Linked DNA regions of Tribolium castaneum. The protein of the gene in region 1 binds, or shares a complex with, the protein of each later gene. Links are inferred from orthologs where the notes say so. Each region holds a gene or a part of one and is shown in the gene's direction. Other genes may lie near its edges.

Region 1 (5,730 bases):
TTAATTTTTACCGGAATTTTTTTAAACTGTTCCGTTTCTCGCAAAAGACGCTGGAAAATAAACAAAAACACCGCATTTTTTGGCTCAATTTAAAAGTGATGTTCTTAAGCTTATTTTTTGAAAAATTTCGTAAAATACCTAAATTTTTTGATTATAAATGTGCTAAAATAACACAAAAACTGGAAAATAATGTAATCTTCAAAAGCTTGGATCCTCAAAAAATTATTTTTTGAATCAATTTCTTCATTTTTTGGAAGATTTTTGACAAAATTAGGGTTAACTAAAACTAAGTTTAAAAACTTGACAAACCAAACTTAAACTTTGGTTTGGTTAATTTTCACGCCAAGAATATCCAACAAGAAGTAACATTAGAGTGTTCGTCAAAAAAAAATCCTTAAAAAAAGTAAAAAAAAACACGCAGTTGTGGCTTAGTTTGGCAATCTTTTAGATTGTTTTATCTAAAGTTGTGTGAAATAATTACGTTTCTAGATAAAAAAAACGTAATAATATAACGCAAAGAACAAAAAAATAATTTCAACTTTGACCTAAATTACTCAATTTTGTGACAAAATTTCGATATCATGTCGCAAAAATGGTTTTTTAAAGTAATTAGGGAGTTTTTGGCTTGAAAAGAAAAAAAATAACGTAATTTTTCAGTCATTATCATTATTTATTAATGTTCAGCAATTTTGATTGTCTAATATACTACAGAGTAATTCAAAAAAGTCGGAAATACTTTCAAAGAAATTTAGATTAAAAACAAACTGAATTAAAAAAAATTCTATGACAAAAAATTGTTAGAGCCCTTTTTCACGAGATATAGCTCTTCTAAGTTAAATTTTTAAGTTAAGTTTTTGCTGCTTTAGATCGTATGTTTTTAGCTTTAGTTAGCAGAAACGACAGCTCTTGGAACATTAAACAAATACATATTGAAAAAATCAACAATTAATGTTTCATGATGTACAAAAGAAATAAAAAACTTGCAAATTTGACAATAAATTAAATTCGACGTCATAGGAAACAAAAGAACAAAAAATATATCAAAATTGTTTGAAAAAAAAATCTGACTTAATTTTTGTCTTTTAACACCATATGAGAGATGGTCTGTCACTTTTGAATTACCCTGTATTTTTAAGTACTAATATGTATAACGCAAAAACAGTAAAAAAATGTTGTCTTTACCACAACGTGGTGATTTTCTAAAAAAAAAAACACAAAAAAATTAAACAGTCATTAATGGCTTTTTGAATTGTTAACAATTGCTAACAATTACGGCAAAAAATACACAATTCCGCAATCTCTTAATCTAATTATTAAAAAAATTGTTATTATTATTTTCGGTTTGTTAGATTTTGTATTTGGGTAACCCTGTGCTTTCCCTTGCCTGAATTTTGCTAGTAATTAAATTTTCCCACATTGGAGTTTGATTTTATTGACAAATATTTGAAGTAATATTTAATGTGTCACTTATTGTCGCAATTTGAAATTCGCATTTGCAAAATCAAAATTTGCGCCATTTAGTGATTTCCCCGCATTCGGGCGTTTTCGTGCCATTCAAGGCCTACCGATCGCACCTCATCGGGCGTGAAATTGATAAGACGCCTTGTGGTTTTTTTGTGCTCCGAAGCTCGTCACAGCCCGGGAATAGTGCAAATGGTCCCATCTGGTAAATCCCATTGAATCGCAAAAAATCGTCGTGGGCCCCTTCGCACCCATTGACGACCAAATCCAGGTAAATAACGGACCATGGAATGGAAATTTCCACTCGCTTCCACCAATCACACGCCAGCTCCAGCAGCTCAAAGACCAATCAGGTCGCAGCTGCGCTTTGACCACAGTTCTTCAGTTGTCTCTCTTCAGTGGCGGCCATTTGAGGCCATCAGAGAATCGATTGTTGTAATTTAGAGCGTTTTTTGGTGAAAAACTGTGGTGAAAGTGTGCAGAAATAGGTCAGATAGGGTTTATGTTGGTGTAACGGCGTGCTTTACCATGCAGGACCAGATTGTGGTCGATGGTCAGAACCATCTCAGTTCTGGAACAAACAGCGGGTTGCCCATCACCGGTAGTCCCATTGTCTTAAAGATGAATGATGTTCCGCAGCTTTCGTCCGTTGGTGAGTCTTTGTGATGGTGAAATTGGCAATTGTTTACGTATTTTGTGTGTTAGGGCTTCTTGAACTTGCCCATCGTGAGTACCAAGCTGGGGATTATGAAAATGCAGAGAGGCACTGTATGCAGTTGTGGAGACAGGATCAGACCAATACGGGGGTTTTACTGCTTTTGTCAAGCATACATTTCCAGTGCAGGCGTTTAGACAAATCCGCACATTTCAGCACTTTGGCAATCAAACAAAATCCACTCCTCGCCGAAGCTTACAGGTATTTTTCATTGTTTTGGCTTATTCCATGAGTGTTCTACAGTTTTTTCTAAATCTAAAAACCTATAAGAGGTTTCTGAATGATTTGTTCACTGTAGAAAGTTAGCGAAGTTGGTGTCCTCTAGCGGACTTTTCGCAACTACAGAAATACAGGGGTGGCTTTAAAAATTGTGTAAAAATTTGAAGAGGTGATAGTGGGGGGGAGAAAAATGTGAAAATAACTAAAATTTGCATTCTCTAAGATCCCTGATATCGTCTAAGTTTGGAAAAATGCTGAAACAGGTCAATTTTGTATTAAAGGGGGACCAAGTTTTATTTTTTAGAGTTCTTTCTTTAAAGTTATTTGCACCCCTCTAGTGCTCAGAGCCACCCCTTCAAGAAATTTCAATTGCCACAGGGGTCGAGTGACGCAGCTGCTTTCATACTCTATTCAACTATGTTTTTTTTTCAATTTTGATCGATTTATTTTTTTGAGAATTACGGGAATTGTTTTAGGATTATAGAAATCTCGTTTAACGACTGTTTAAAATTTTGAACGTTTTTTGGTTTGGATTATGAAAGAAATGGTACGTTATCTGTGCTAGTGTGTTTACTTTTTAAAATAAACAAAACAACTGCCATTTAAGTTTTAGTTGAATAAACGCTTAGAAAATGTAAATTTTTGGTCATTTTCGATCAAATTTTGATTTTTTTTGGGTTTTTATCCTAGAACTTGCAAAAAATGTCTTCTTTGACTTTGTCTTCTTTTTCGTTTTAGTTTAATAAAAATAAAAAAGAAATCCTAATGTTTGATCTAAAAACGTGTTTAAATCCTCGAAACTTGTAATTTTTGACATAATTGTGTGATTTATTGACTTACTTTTTAAGAAATTTTGCACATAATTGAGTTTTTGCTATATAAACGCTTAGAAAATAAATGTATATTTTTGGTCAATTTTGACCAAAGTTGGTGATTTTTTCATTTTAGTTTAATAAAAATAGAAAGGAAGACCTAATGTTTGGTTTAAAAACGTGTTTAAATCCTCGAAACTTGTATTTTTTGCCATAATTGTGTGATTTATTGACTTACTTTTTAATTTTTAATAAATTTTGCACAATAATTGAATTTTTGCTGAATAAAGGCTTAGAAAAAGTAAATTTTTGGTAAATTTTGACCAAAGTTGGTGATTTCCTCGTTTTAGTTTAATAAAAATAGAAAGGAAAACTTAATGTTTGGTCTAAAACTTGTTTAAATCCTCTAAACTTGCAAGAATAATGTAATTTTTGACATAATTCTGTGATTTATTTATTGGCTTTTTAAGAAATTTTTGCACAATAATTGAGTTTTTTGCAAAATAAACGCTTAGAAAAGGTAAATTTTTGGTCAGTTTCGACCAAAGTTGATGATTTTTTCGTTTTACTTTAATAAAAATAGAAAGGAAAACCTAATGTTTGGTCCAAAACGTGTTTAAATCCTCGAAACTTGTAAAAATAATGTAATTTTTGACATAATTCTGTGATTTATTGGCTTACTTTTTAAGAAATTTTGCACAATAATTGAATTTTTGCTGAATAAAGGCTTAGAAAAAGTAAATTTTTGGTCAATTTTAACCAAATTGGTGATTTCCTCGTTTTAGTTTAATAAAAATAGAAAGGAAAACCTAATGTTTGGTCTAAAACGTGTTTAACTCTTCGAAACTTGCAAAATTAATGTACTTTTTGACATAATTCTGTGATTTATTGGCTTACTTTTTAAGAAATTTTGCACAATAATTGAGTTTTTGCTAAATAGACGCTTAGAAAAGGTAAATTTTTGGTCATTTTCGATCAAAGTTGGTGATTTTTTCGTTTTAGTTTAATAAAAATAGAAAGGAAAATCTAATGTTTGGTCCAAAACGTGTTTAAATTCTCGAAACTTGCAAAAATAATGTAATTTGTGACATAATTCTGTGATTTACTGGCTTACTTTATCAGAAATTTTGCACATAATTGAACAAAGGCTTGGGAAAAAAATTTTTTTGTCAATTTTGACCAAAGTTGGTGATTTTTTTGTTTTAGTTTAATAAAAATAGAAAGAAAAACCTAATGTTTAGTCTAAAACGAGTGTAAATCCTCGAAACTTGCAAAAATAATGTAATTTTTGACATAATTCTCTGATTTATTGGCTTACTTTTTAAGAAATTTTGCACAATAATTGAGTTTTTGCTAAATAAACGCGTAGAAAAAGTAATTTTTTGGTCAATTTTGACCAAATATGGTGTTTTTTCGTTTTAGTTTAATAAAAATAGAAAGGAAAACCTAATGTTTCAATTTTTATTTTTATTTAGTTTCTCAATTTTTCATTTTCAGGCGGTATGAACTACTTTTGTACCTGATTTTGACAATGATAATTAAAAAAAATCGGATAATGCATATGGTTATACTGTAGCTCAAAAACTAGTAATCACACAGAAATCAGGCAATCAGGGCTTGATATTAAAACACTTCATACTTTTCTCGGTTCATGTGAATTTTTTTGGAATTTCTGTACAATTTTCTATCATTAAAATCCATTATGTTACTTATTGTTTCTTAAAATACTTAAAATAACTGGCGCTATTCTGAAAAAACAATTAAAATAAGTACTGAAGATTTCATCTAACTTTTCTTAAAAATAAATGTTTTATTATGAAAATAAAGACCTAATCTATTTTTCTGAATTTTAAATTTTAATATCGAAAATCGTTAAAGTCTGATACATAATTCAAAACTGACAAACATGTGTCACATTTTGCATTTTGTCGTTTCTCTGATTTTGTGTAACATGAACTAATACTTTTTGTGATTATCTTTTTCTTTTAATTAATGATGGGTTTTCATCGTTCAAAATTTGTTACTTGTAATTACACAGATTTTTTAAAAAATTTTTAAAAAGTCTTTTTTGTGATCTATTCCTTTTTATAAATGTACAAATGCCATTTTGACGTTGTTTAAAGGTTTGAAACGGCTGTTCTCTTAGCTCTTCTAATCAGTTTTTTCAAATAGTAAAGAGAAACCAAGAAAAGCAGTAAATACAGAAAGCTACGGATCAAAAATCTGTACAAGTTTTCTCTAATCTTGTCATAGATAAAAGTCGCAGTAAATAATATTTCAAGTAGTAAACATTTTAATATCATATCGTGTTAAACTTCTTGCTAAGTTTCTTATAAATTTTTTGTTTTAAAATTTGAGGAAACAACCTGTATTTACGTAATAAATAGATCATAAAAAATTAAATAATTCAAAGTTTTAAAGCGAGTCAAAACTTCTAAGTAAGTATATCAAGTTAGTTGATGTTTATAACTTATAAGTTATAACAGAAGAAGAAATGTACTCTTGCTGCCAACGGTATGAACG
Region 2 (4,715 bases), on another chromosome or scaffold:
CCCCAAAAATTATTTTTCTTTATAAATTTTCACGACCTTAGGCTCGTTTTTAAATATGTCCGAGCACGTAGCTAATTCTTAAAATAACCGCGGCTATTATTACGTACACCATTAAGTTTAGTGCATCATAAAAATTCGAAGTAAATAAATATTTACTTTATAATCATGTAGTGCTTATCAATAGCACAAATGTAATTTAAATTTGTAGCCACATTACTCGTCGACCCAGTTCGTTTCAGTAGACATTCAGGCAATGTCAGCAGTGGTCGGTTTTATTTTGATTAATCATAGTGTAAGGTTTATGTGGTAATATGAAAGAATTTGTGCGATTGTGTAATAAAAAACACTGATGTTGATTTTATTTTAAGTTAAATTTCTGACTTAGAAATAGAAAAAAACGTTCAAACGTCCACTGACATGAAATGCTCTAAAATTTTTAAAAAGTAAATAAAAATCAATTTATTATTAAAAATCCATAAGAGCATAAGATAGTGCGTTTGTATGAACATAATAAAAAAAACTTAACACAACCATACTCAAAACAAGTTGAAACAAAAAGGAAAAGTTTCAAGATCAAATCAATTGAAAATAAAGTTGCAAGAAATATAAACATCTTTTAATAAGAAATTGATTTTATTTTTTACTCTTGTGAAAGATTACAATTATTTTACATCATACAAATCGCAAATGAAATTGTTGCATAAGAATGACAAAACTACTACAAAAATTGAAAAATTGCTTCAAAGAGAAAATAAAAAAATGAATAAAACCGCTGACCTACAACAAACGTAGAGAAGAGTTAAATAATAAATTTTCTGGAAAAGAATACGTTGAAATAATCCTGAAAAGCATAAAAATAACGGTGCGTTTAACACACGTGTCGTGTGAACGCCGCTTTATCGCATTTGCATGAAACGTCAAATATGCGCAGTAGAGGGGGCTATCTACGTCACTTACGAAACATGGCGCAATAGCTCCACAATGACCTAAAACAAGGGTCGTGGGGCGCCAGGGGGCTGAAATTCGCGCTATCTACGTGTTAAATGCAAGCATGCGGCAAGGATACACTTTGAGCCTCTGTCCCATGTCCTGGATGAAATTGGCAGTCTGCTGCCTGTAGGACAGCTCCTTGTAGCTATCATATCCGCATTTCCTCGAGGGCGTAGCGTCCAATTGCTCTTTCGTGAAGTACCATCTATCGCTGTTATTAGCCATTTACTGCACTCGACACGACTCGCGATAACAGCAAGGCAAGTGTCGCTACGGCTCGAAATCAGGCTATTCCAGGTCATTTGCTGGTCTTATTGGGGCAAATGGGGGCGCATTGTCGCGAAATTTAGTCACATTAACTACACTTTTGTCCAGAAAATCGGCTTCAAGGGTTTCCGTTGCGTCACTACGATGTGGGTTTTCCTAGAAGTGGCACTGGTGCAAATCGGGTCGGCTTTTCACGGGCAAATCTCCGGTTGCAAGTCTCGAATTGATCACGAATTATTACTTAAAGTTTACTAAACGCTTTTGGAAAGTTTTTCGCGCGAAAGAGGTAGTTCTTTAACAAATTAAAATATACATACACAAAGTTGTTGGAATTTGATGTTATTTCACTCAGAGATGGCCGACCAACCGCGGTAAGCAAGCCCACGACTTCCACAAAACAAACACCAAAACCACCCACACACTCGAAAACCGCAACACTCCCGAAAAAACGCAAATTATCCCTAAACTAATCCCTGAAATTATCACAGAAATCCACTAAGGCCCTTAGATCCACAAACGCACAACAAGCATGGCTTTGAGTAAAGATGTCGGCTGTCGATTTCCGCTCGGCTGCTCATTGGCTGCCACCGTTCGAAATATACCGCCAAACAAACATAACCTTGTCAATAACAAAGCCAGACGCGCAAAACTAAACTTTCACTATTTTCAGGATGCAGTTTCCGGAAAAACAACTCAAAACCAACCATGCCCCTTCAACGACTGCAGAAAAAGACGTCGCCGCCCTCAAAGCCGAGCTAGAAATCGAGCTCAAGAACAAAAAGCAATGCACATACAAACCGTACGAATGCACCCAACTCACCCTCGACGGGTTCAATTACTGCCTCAAACACATCCTCCAAGACAAGGCAGCCCCCTACAGACAGTGCTCGTACATTTACGCCAGTAACGGGAAACGCTGCCAGCTGGCAGCCCCCAAAATCGAAAAGAAAGACTGCGGCTACTGTAACGATCACGCAGTTAAAGTCACACTTGAGAAAAACAGGCAGAACTCGAGGCTTCAGCCGCCACAAACCGCAGAAGTCCTGATATATTCGTTGGGACATTACTTGAAGAAGCCCAGAAATCGGGCAACTTCTGGTAGTGGAGAGGAGGCAGAGAGGGCCCTTCTGGAGGAGGCTGAAGCCAAGAGCACCAAGTGCTTGGACCCGTTCCGTAAGCCACCCTTTTTTTCAAATTAATTTTCCAAATACAAATTAATGTGTTAGGTGATATTGACGCCAATGCCTTGTATAACTCCACTTGTAACAACGTTTTGGACTTCTGTAGTGAGTCTGATAGCGATGTTGAGGCTTCAACGTTCGCGTCAGTGTGGCATGATGCACAGAATGACAGTTCCGATAACGAAAGTGTTGATTCAGACCAGGAGGACGTTTTAAAGTGAGGTGGCAATTTTTTATTTTTGAGACTAATTTTTGTATTTGAAGGCACGCGAATGTGTACACAGCTGAAGAAATCAGTTCAATTACGAGAGAAAAGTTAATCAAGCTTCAGTCGTTATACATTGAGCAATATCGTCATTTGCAGCATGTCTTTAAGGAATGCAAAAGAAAATATGTTTATAATTTAAGGAGGGAAAAGGAAACTTGCTGTGAGATTACATCACAATAATTACGTCCAGTTCATTTGAATTCGTTTCGTTTTTTAGGCAATATTTATAACCAGATCCGTGAAAATCCCAAAGAACAGCGGCTTTACAAAAAACTCAAAGCGCTAAATAAGTACCACAAACCGCACGGAGTTGAAGCGATACTTCATAAAAGAGAGCATGATTCACGCGCTAAGGTTCATATTCGAATTATTTACATTTTTTTTTTATTAAAAATAAAATTAGATTACAGATGGCATGTTCTCCAAAGCGCCAGGTTACTCGCGGTGTTTGTTTACAGAAGGTGGGGTCAAGTGTGGGGAGAGAACTCTGCCTCTGGCTAGACATTGCAGGAAACATATTTTAGAAGTAATTTATTTTATTACTGTAATGTTTCATTTAAGTGTTGAAATTGTAGGATCAAAATCAAGTATTATTCAGGCCGTGCGGTAAGAAGAGAGCGGATGTAGAATGTAAAACACCAGTTGAGGCGATTTTTGAGGACAGTTGCTGCAACTTGCATATGGACATACCTCCAATTAAATCATATGCGCAATTAAGGGTACGGTGTTATTAAAAACAAAAAAATACGTAACTATTTTGCCACTATTTATGACTAATTGTTTCTAAACAGCTTAAAAGGAGCTAAAATTATTTATTTTTTATCACCACCACTGAAAATGTAATTTTAGTTAAAAATTACAAAATTGATAAATATTTTCTATTGAAAAAAATGCTTCATAGCAGAATTCGTCCCATGTTTGCTATTTCTGAAGATTAAATGTTTCTTAATCACGTGGTTAATTTTATGAAGGAAAAAACCGGTGTTTGGTTTCTTATTCTTTTAAGTTATGAACTATTTAGTAAATTTGTTTGATTAATAAAGATTTATTTTTTAATAATAGATGGCTGGCATATCATTAAAATAGTATTAGGTATTCGTTAAAATTATACAGGCGGTGCTAATGTGAAATACATAATAACTAATAAGAAATAAAAATACTTCTCTTACTTAAACTTTCAATGGAGTGTTATTAATTTGATGCATAACACATTTATGACGAAATACTTATTTTTATGAAAATTGAATAAATGAAAAAAGGAGAATTAAAAAATAAAACAAGCAACACTGATTAAACTTGATGGGAAAAAAACAAAGAACATAACAAAATGGTAACAAAGGCATGTTTATGACAAAAAAATATAAAATATACTGAATTAATGACACAAGTTATTTCAGAAATATTTAAAACAGAATCAGAAAAAAATTAAAAAATCTTTGAAAGAATTTAGGACTTGAAATTCATTAAAATAGTGGGTACTTTATGCCAAAAAAACTGGCTAGAAACCAAAAATAGCCAATTTCGGCAGATTATAATTTTTAATATTTTTTTTTTTATTTAGAAAAATTCTGAATCCGACTTTGAGGATTCCTTTGAATCTCCCGAAAACATGTTGATGGAAGCGGTGTCAGAGTCCGACAACGTGAAGACAGAATTTATAGACTACGGCCCCAACTTGGAAGAAATGAAGACCTTGCCGTCTGTTTTATTTGAAGAGTCCAGCATGGACGCTAGTATTAAAAACGAAGACACGGAGAACGAAAAACCGGATGAAGATGTACAAATCGACGTAGACGACGAACCTAGTCCCGAAGGAAAACTAGAAATTGATATACCTGAAGAAGATACCAATGATATTAGAATCGAAGATAAGATGGAAGAAGACAGTTCGCAGGATAAACCCGCCCCGGAGCCCCCAGTTACTGATAATTAGTTTTAAGTTCCAAGTATTATTTTTTGTTACACGTTTTGTATTCGCAATAAAGCCATTTGAATTAATTTTGTGTACG
Region 3 (4,393 bases), on another chromosome or scaffold:
TATGTTTCTGTTATTAACCGACAACAAACTTACGTAACAAGTATTAAAAAATTTAAACCAAAGAGACTTAAATAAATTCAATGTCTGACGCTATTATCTGTGTCAAATCGTGACTTTGGATTCAATACCAGTTCTAATACACGTGGAAAGCTATTCAATCGGTTTTTTATTGTTCCTTTTCTATTAGAAAAACACAACAATAGCTTCCAATCAATGAAAGAACGAGGAAAACAGATAAACGAACGTAATTTATTAACGTGTGATTAAAGATAAGGGTGTTTTGATGAAATATCGATTCGTGTTAGCAAAGTAACGGTGTTATTATTGTGAGAAAAACACAAGTGGAGGGCTTCGTTATGAACTGTGCCACATGCAAGGAGAATTAACCACAAAAAATGCCTGGCTTACAAAAACGTTCCGGAAAAAACCTCAATAAACAATATTATCTCTGGATCGGTTCATTGACTTTATTACTGTGTAAAATATAACATTACAACTATCCACCACGGATTGCGAACGAGTTTATTATTAACGTTCTAAATTTAATAGGTGGACAAGAATGTCTGGATTGTGCGGTTCCGGGACATCAAACCAGACCTTGAGAACGTAAGGGGCCAACCGAGGCCGCCACCAAAAACAATGCTAATGCTAATACGAATAATTTCGTCGTAATAAGGCCATAATTGGGGCTATTTTCCAATCAAATCGCGCCTTTTTCTGGAGGTGAAATCAAGCGAGCTTACCTGACTTGGACACGATTTATGGCATCGTAAACGAAGAGAATTTATTGGGTTTGCTAAAATTTAACGAAATTTAGTAAACATAACGGTATTTTTACTGCAATTTCTAGTGAAACGTCACAAATGTCACAATAACACAATCACAACAAAAAAAGTGGGTCGGGTTTGGGGAAAACAGGCTGGACACACGAAATTCAATGTCACTGGTGATATAATTTGCTGGAACTAGACCAAGTTATGGTAATCCCCTTATTAATATTACATCGTTAAAAGTGAAAAAATACAGTTACACTCTCGAATTGTATGTTTGGAGTAAATACGAAGTGTTATTTAATTTATGCCGTCCGGTCACGTGGTATCTACACCAGAAGTGTTGCCAACAGTGGTTATTGCCATTTTTTAGGTTATGTATTTGTCAAAAATATATGAAGCCTCTAAAGCCAACCGAGACAATTTACAAGAGCCAAGGGACATGGACCGACGCATTGACAGTGTGCAAAAACGCCGGAATTGGATATTCCACCAACCAGATCTACCGCGAGGACGGCAACCCCCAGGAGGACCACCCGTATGAAGACTGCAGCTGCCACTACGAGTTCAACAACGGCACCTGCTGGTACGCGGTCTTCGACGGGCACGAGGGCCAGAAAGCCCCGCATTTCTCGTCGCAGCTGACCGCCGAAATCTACTTCTCTCAACTGACCGAGAAGAAGACTGACGATGAAGTGAGGGAGATCCTGAGACAGGCGTTCATTTCGGTCGAAACGGGGTATATGCAGTCGATTGGCGACCTGCTGGCTGACAGATTAAGGCTGCAGGATGACTTACCCGAAGGCTCGAACTCGTACGAGGCCTATCAGAAGGCGCCCCATGTCGTTGAGAGTATTAAACGGATCAATTGTGAGCTGTCGTCAGGGGCCGCCGCTGCCGTCGCTTTGATTCACAACAATAAGTTATATGTGGCTAATGTCGGAAATTGTCGCGTATTGTTATGCAAAACTGATGCAAATTCGGTGTTGAAAGTCGTCCAGTTGAGTGTCGACCACGATTTGAAGAACGAGGACGAGTTGCTGAGGCTGGCGCAGATTGGGATCAATCGGGAGTATTTGAGGAATTGTAAGTTGGAATTCTAGCCATAAAGCAATAAAATAGTTATTACACCACAAGTTTAAAAAAGCGTTAAATAGGGTTCTTATTTTTCTAAAATAAATTTTTCGTCGCGACTACGGAGGACTGTAGATTAGGAGACGAAATGAGATACAAAGTAGGATTTTCTCTAGTCCGGCGAAGTAAAAATGAGGGCGCTTCGAGCGTTAAACCGTCTCGGTGCAAATCGTTTTAAATTAATTTAAATTCAATCAATTCACTCATTGGAAAGAAAAAATGCAGAAATGTTGAGCTTTGCATTCTTAATAGGCAGAAAAAATGACTAAAATTTTCACGGGAACCAAGAGACAAAAATTTATGTTAATAATACTAACAGAGTATTTTACACACCTTAAAATATTTTATTCTTCGACACTGTCAAAATTTACGGTTTTTCTCCTGTGTAAGGAAGTTTTGACAACTGTTTGGCATTTCTCAGTACGAAACGTCAGATTATTTTTAACAAATTTAAAGCAGTTTTAAGCCTTGCTGAGTCTATTTCGAAGAATAAAATGTTGTATTCAACTCGTTTTTGTGTAAATCGGTTCATTTATTTCGCCTCGTGGATGATAAACCACTCGTTTTCACTCGTGGTTTAAAAATCCACTCGTGAGATAAAGCGTCCGATTTACACTCAAACTCATTAAATAAATAACTATACTTAGATTTCGGTTGGTATTACATAGACAAAATATTACTAAAATCATTCTGAATATAATCCTCAAACGGATAAAAGTTTTGGAAAACTGAAATAGTGCTTAAGGTTTTTGTGGAGGAAAATTTCTTTTTAGAAAGACATAAAATTTAATTGTATAATAGTTAGTTTCATGTCGGGCTTTTGTTTGCCTTAGATTATTTAAGGAAAAATAATTTCCTCTTGTACAATAATTTATTATGATTAGAACCTAGAAGAGAATATTCACTGCTGTGCTTGGAAAAATATTTCGAGACCTTTAAGGATACACTAAACTGTCTTTATTGCCTATTTTGTTTCACAGTTCTTCTTGAAATTATTTGATATTATACATTACGTATATTTACACTTCTGTTTCCCTTCCCAATTTTTTTTCTTGCACCCGTCACTTCTTTCATACATTTTTTCCTCTTGACTCCACACACTCTGACAAACAATGTTTATTTAAAAATATATAAACTAGAAAGTGTGAGAATTGGTAATATTTTTTTATATAGCTTTCAATAAAATGTTTGCCCTGACTTTGAGTGGTATGATTAAAAAAGTATTTGATTTTACTTCAAGTAAATAATTCACGTCGTAGTTTTACTTCAAATAAATATTACCTAACGTAGCATTTACTTCACAGTATACTTGAAGTAAGTAGTATAAGTAAATACTTCAGACTCCTTTATGTACTTTGGTATATAGAGGACAATACTATGGAAACTAGGTAAACAATAGAATATCGTACTTTAATAATTTCTGTTAAGTTACGAGTAAGCTCCATGATCTTCTTTTTAGAATTAGTTCTTTTAAAACACTTAATTATTTCTTTACTTTCAAAATAAAAGTTTTAACTACTATTACGTATTATTATGAAATATTTAATACTTATTCCAGTATTAGTACTTTAACAAACTCTGTAAAATAAGATACTTATTAACTTATGTATTCTTCTATTCTACAAAGTTTTAGAAATAAACCTTTATCCATTTGCTTGTAAATGGAATTTTCCAAAATTGTCGTTACTTAATAGAACAAAATTAATAGAACATTTGAATCAAATTAAAGTTAATTAATTAACAAAATCTCTATGACGGAAATCTTGTCATAAGGTTATTTAATAACGTATTCATCAGTTGCCACATTATTGGCAAGTTGGAGTCATTTTTCTTAAATATAGTTACAACAATGGGACTAACTAGAGTTAGAAGTAGGACAGCATTTTGAAGACATTAATTTGTTTTGGTTGTGAAAATTTAGGAAGATAAAAAAAATAATATTACTAATCAAATTACTGACCCATTTCCATTTTCTAAACTACCATATCGCCTACAAGGAGGCAATGTATGTAAATTTTGGAACCTAATGAATTACTTCAATTTAAACCACAACAAAAAAGCTCTTTTGTCGCAAAATACTCGCGATCTAGCTGTCTCTCTATTCGTAATTTATACCTTTTTTTATGTAATTTTTCTCCTTTTTGTTATCTGTTTAACTTGATATGTTTATACTTATATTTATAATTTTTAATTATACTATAATATCCTATTAGTATCCATTTTTGACGTGTTTAATTTCTGTGTATTCAGATAAGAGAACGAATAAATTATTAAATTATTATTATAATATAAACTAAAATTATTTTGAAAATATTTCGGTGTCAGGCATTTTTCCTGGAATAGCTGTCTTACTATTGAGAATTTAGTGCTCTATCTGTCTGTATTTTTTCTGTTAGCCTTGTGCTAACCGTTAAATAAAAAACCCAGACATCTTTCACAGTCAACGTTACTTCAGAAGTAATAGAATTACTTTTAATTTTAGTATGCAA

Evidence for each region. Proteins that work in one complex are often made in the same cells at the same time.
Region 2: sxc (region 1) and dgt1 share a complex: the UniProt entries of both Homo sapiens proteins name them as parts of the NSL complex. The link is inferred for Tribolium castaneum from reciprocal best matches to the Homo sapiens genes OGT and KANSL2.
Region 3: the proteins of sxc (region 1) and TGF-beta-activated kinase 1 and MAP3K7-binding protein 1 are in contact, whole or in part, in a crystal structure (PDB 4AY6), measured with the Homo sapiens proteins. The link is inferred for Tribolium castaneum from reciprocal best matches to the Homo sapiens genes OGT and TAB1. Residues at the interface, in NP_858058.1 of Homo sapiens: Asp441, His506, His508, His509, Asn567, His568, Pro569, Gly641, Tyr642, Thr643, Lys644, Ala646, Gln849, Phe878, Pro904, Val905, Ala906, Pro907; in NP_006107.1 of Homo sapiens: Pro389, Val390, Val392, Pro393, Tyr394, Ser396, Ala397, Gln398, Ser399.

Annotation. Positions count from the first base shown.
Region 1 is NC_087394.1:6,431,337-6,437,066, reverse strand, and holds the start of sxc (UDP-N-acetylglucosamine--peptide N-acetylglucosaminyltransferase 110 kDa subunit), read left to right. Parts: upstream 1-1,843; 5' UTR 1,844-1,989; coding exon 1,990-2,113; intron 2,114-2,166; coding exon 2,167-2,377; intron 2,378-5,730. UniProt on the Homo sapiens protein: Catalyzes the transfer of a single N-acetylglucosamine from UDP-GlcNAc to a serine or threonine residue in cytoplasmic and nuclear proteins resulting in their modification with a beta-linked N-acetylglucosamine (O-GlcNAc).
Region 2 is NC_087396.1:19,996,703-20,001,417, forward strand, and holds dgt1 (KAT8 regulatory NSL complex subunit 2), read left to right. Parts: upstream 1-1,487; 5' UTR 1,488-1,593; coding exon 1,594-1,628; intron 1,629-1,927; coding exon 1,928-2,430; intron 2,431-2,483; coding exon 2,484-2,655; intron 2,656-2,702; coding exon 2,703-2,866; intron 2,867-2,923; coding exon 2,924-3,060; intron 3,061-3,109; coding exon 3,110-3,232; intron 3,233-3,281; coding exon 3,282-3,425; intron 3,426-4,267; coding exon 4,268-4,639; 3' UTR 4,640-4,704; downstream 4,705-4,715. Other genes in the region: CycT (cyclin-T), read right to left, coding at 1,067-1,215. UniProt on the Homo sapiens protein: Non-catalytic component of the NSL histone acetyltransferase complex, a multiprotein complex that mediates histone H4 acetylation at 'Lys-5'- and 'Lys-8' (H4K5ac and H4K8ac) at transcription start sites and promotes transcription initiation.
Region 3 is NC_087395.1:17,238,600-17,242,992, reverse strand, and holds the start of TGF-beta-activated kinase 1 and MAP3K7-binding protein 1, read left to right. Parts: upstream 1-1,165; coding exon 1,166-1,856; intron 1,857-4,393. UniProt on the Homo sapiens protein: Key adapter protein that plays an essential role in JNK and NF-kappa-B activation and proinflammatory cytokines production in response to stimulation with TLRs and cytokines.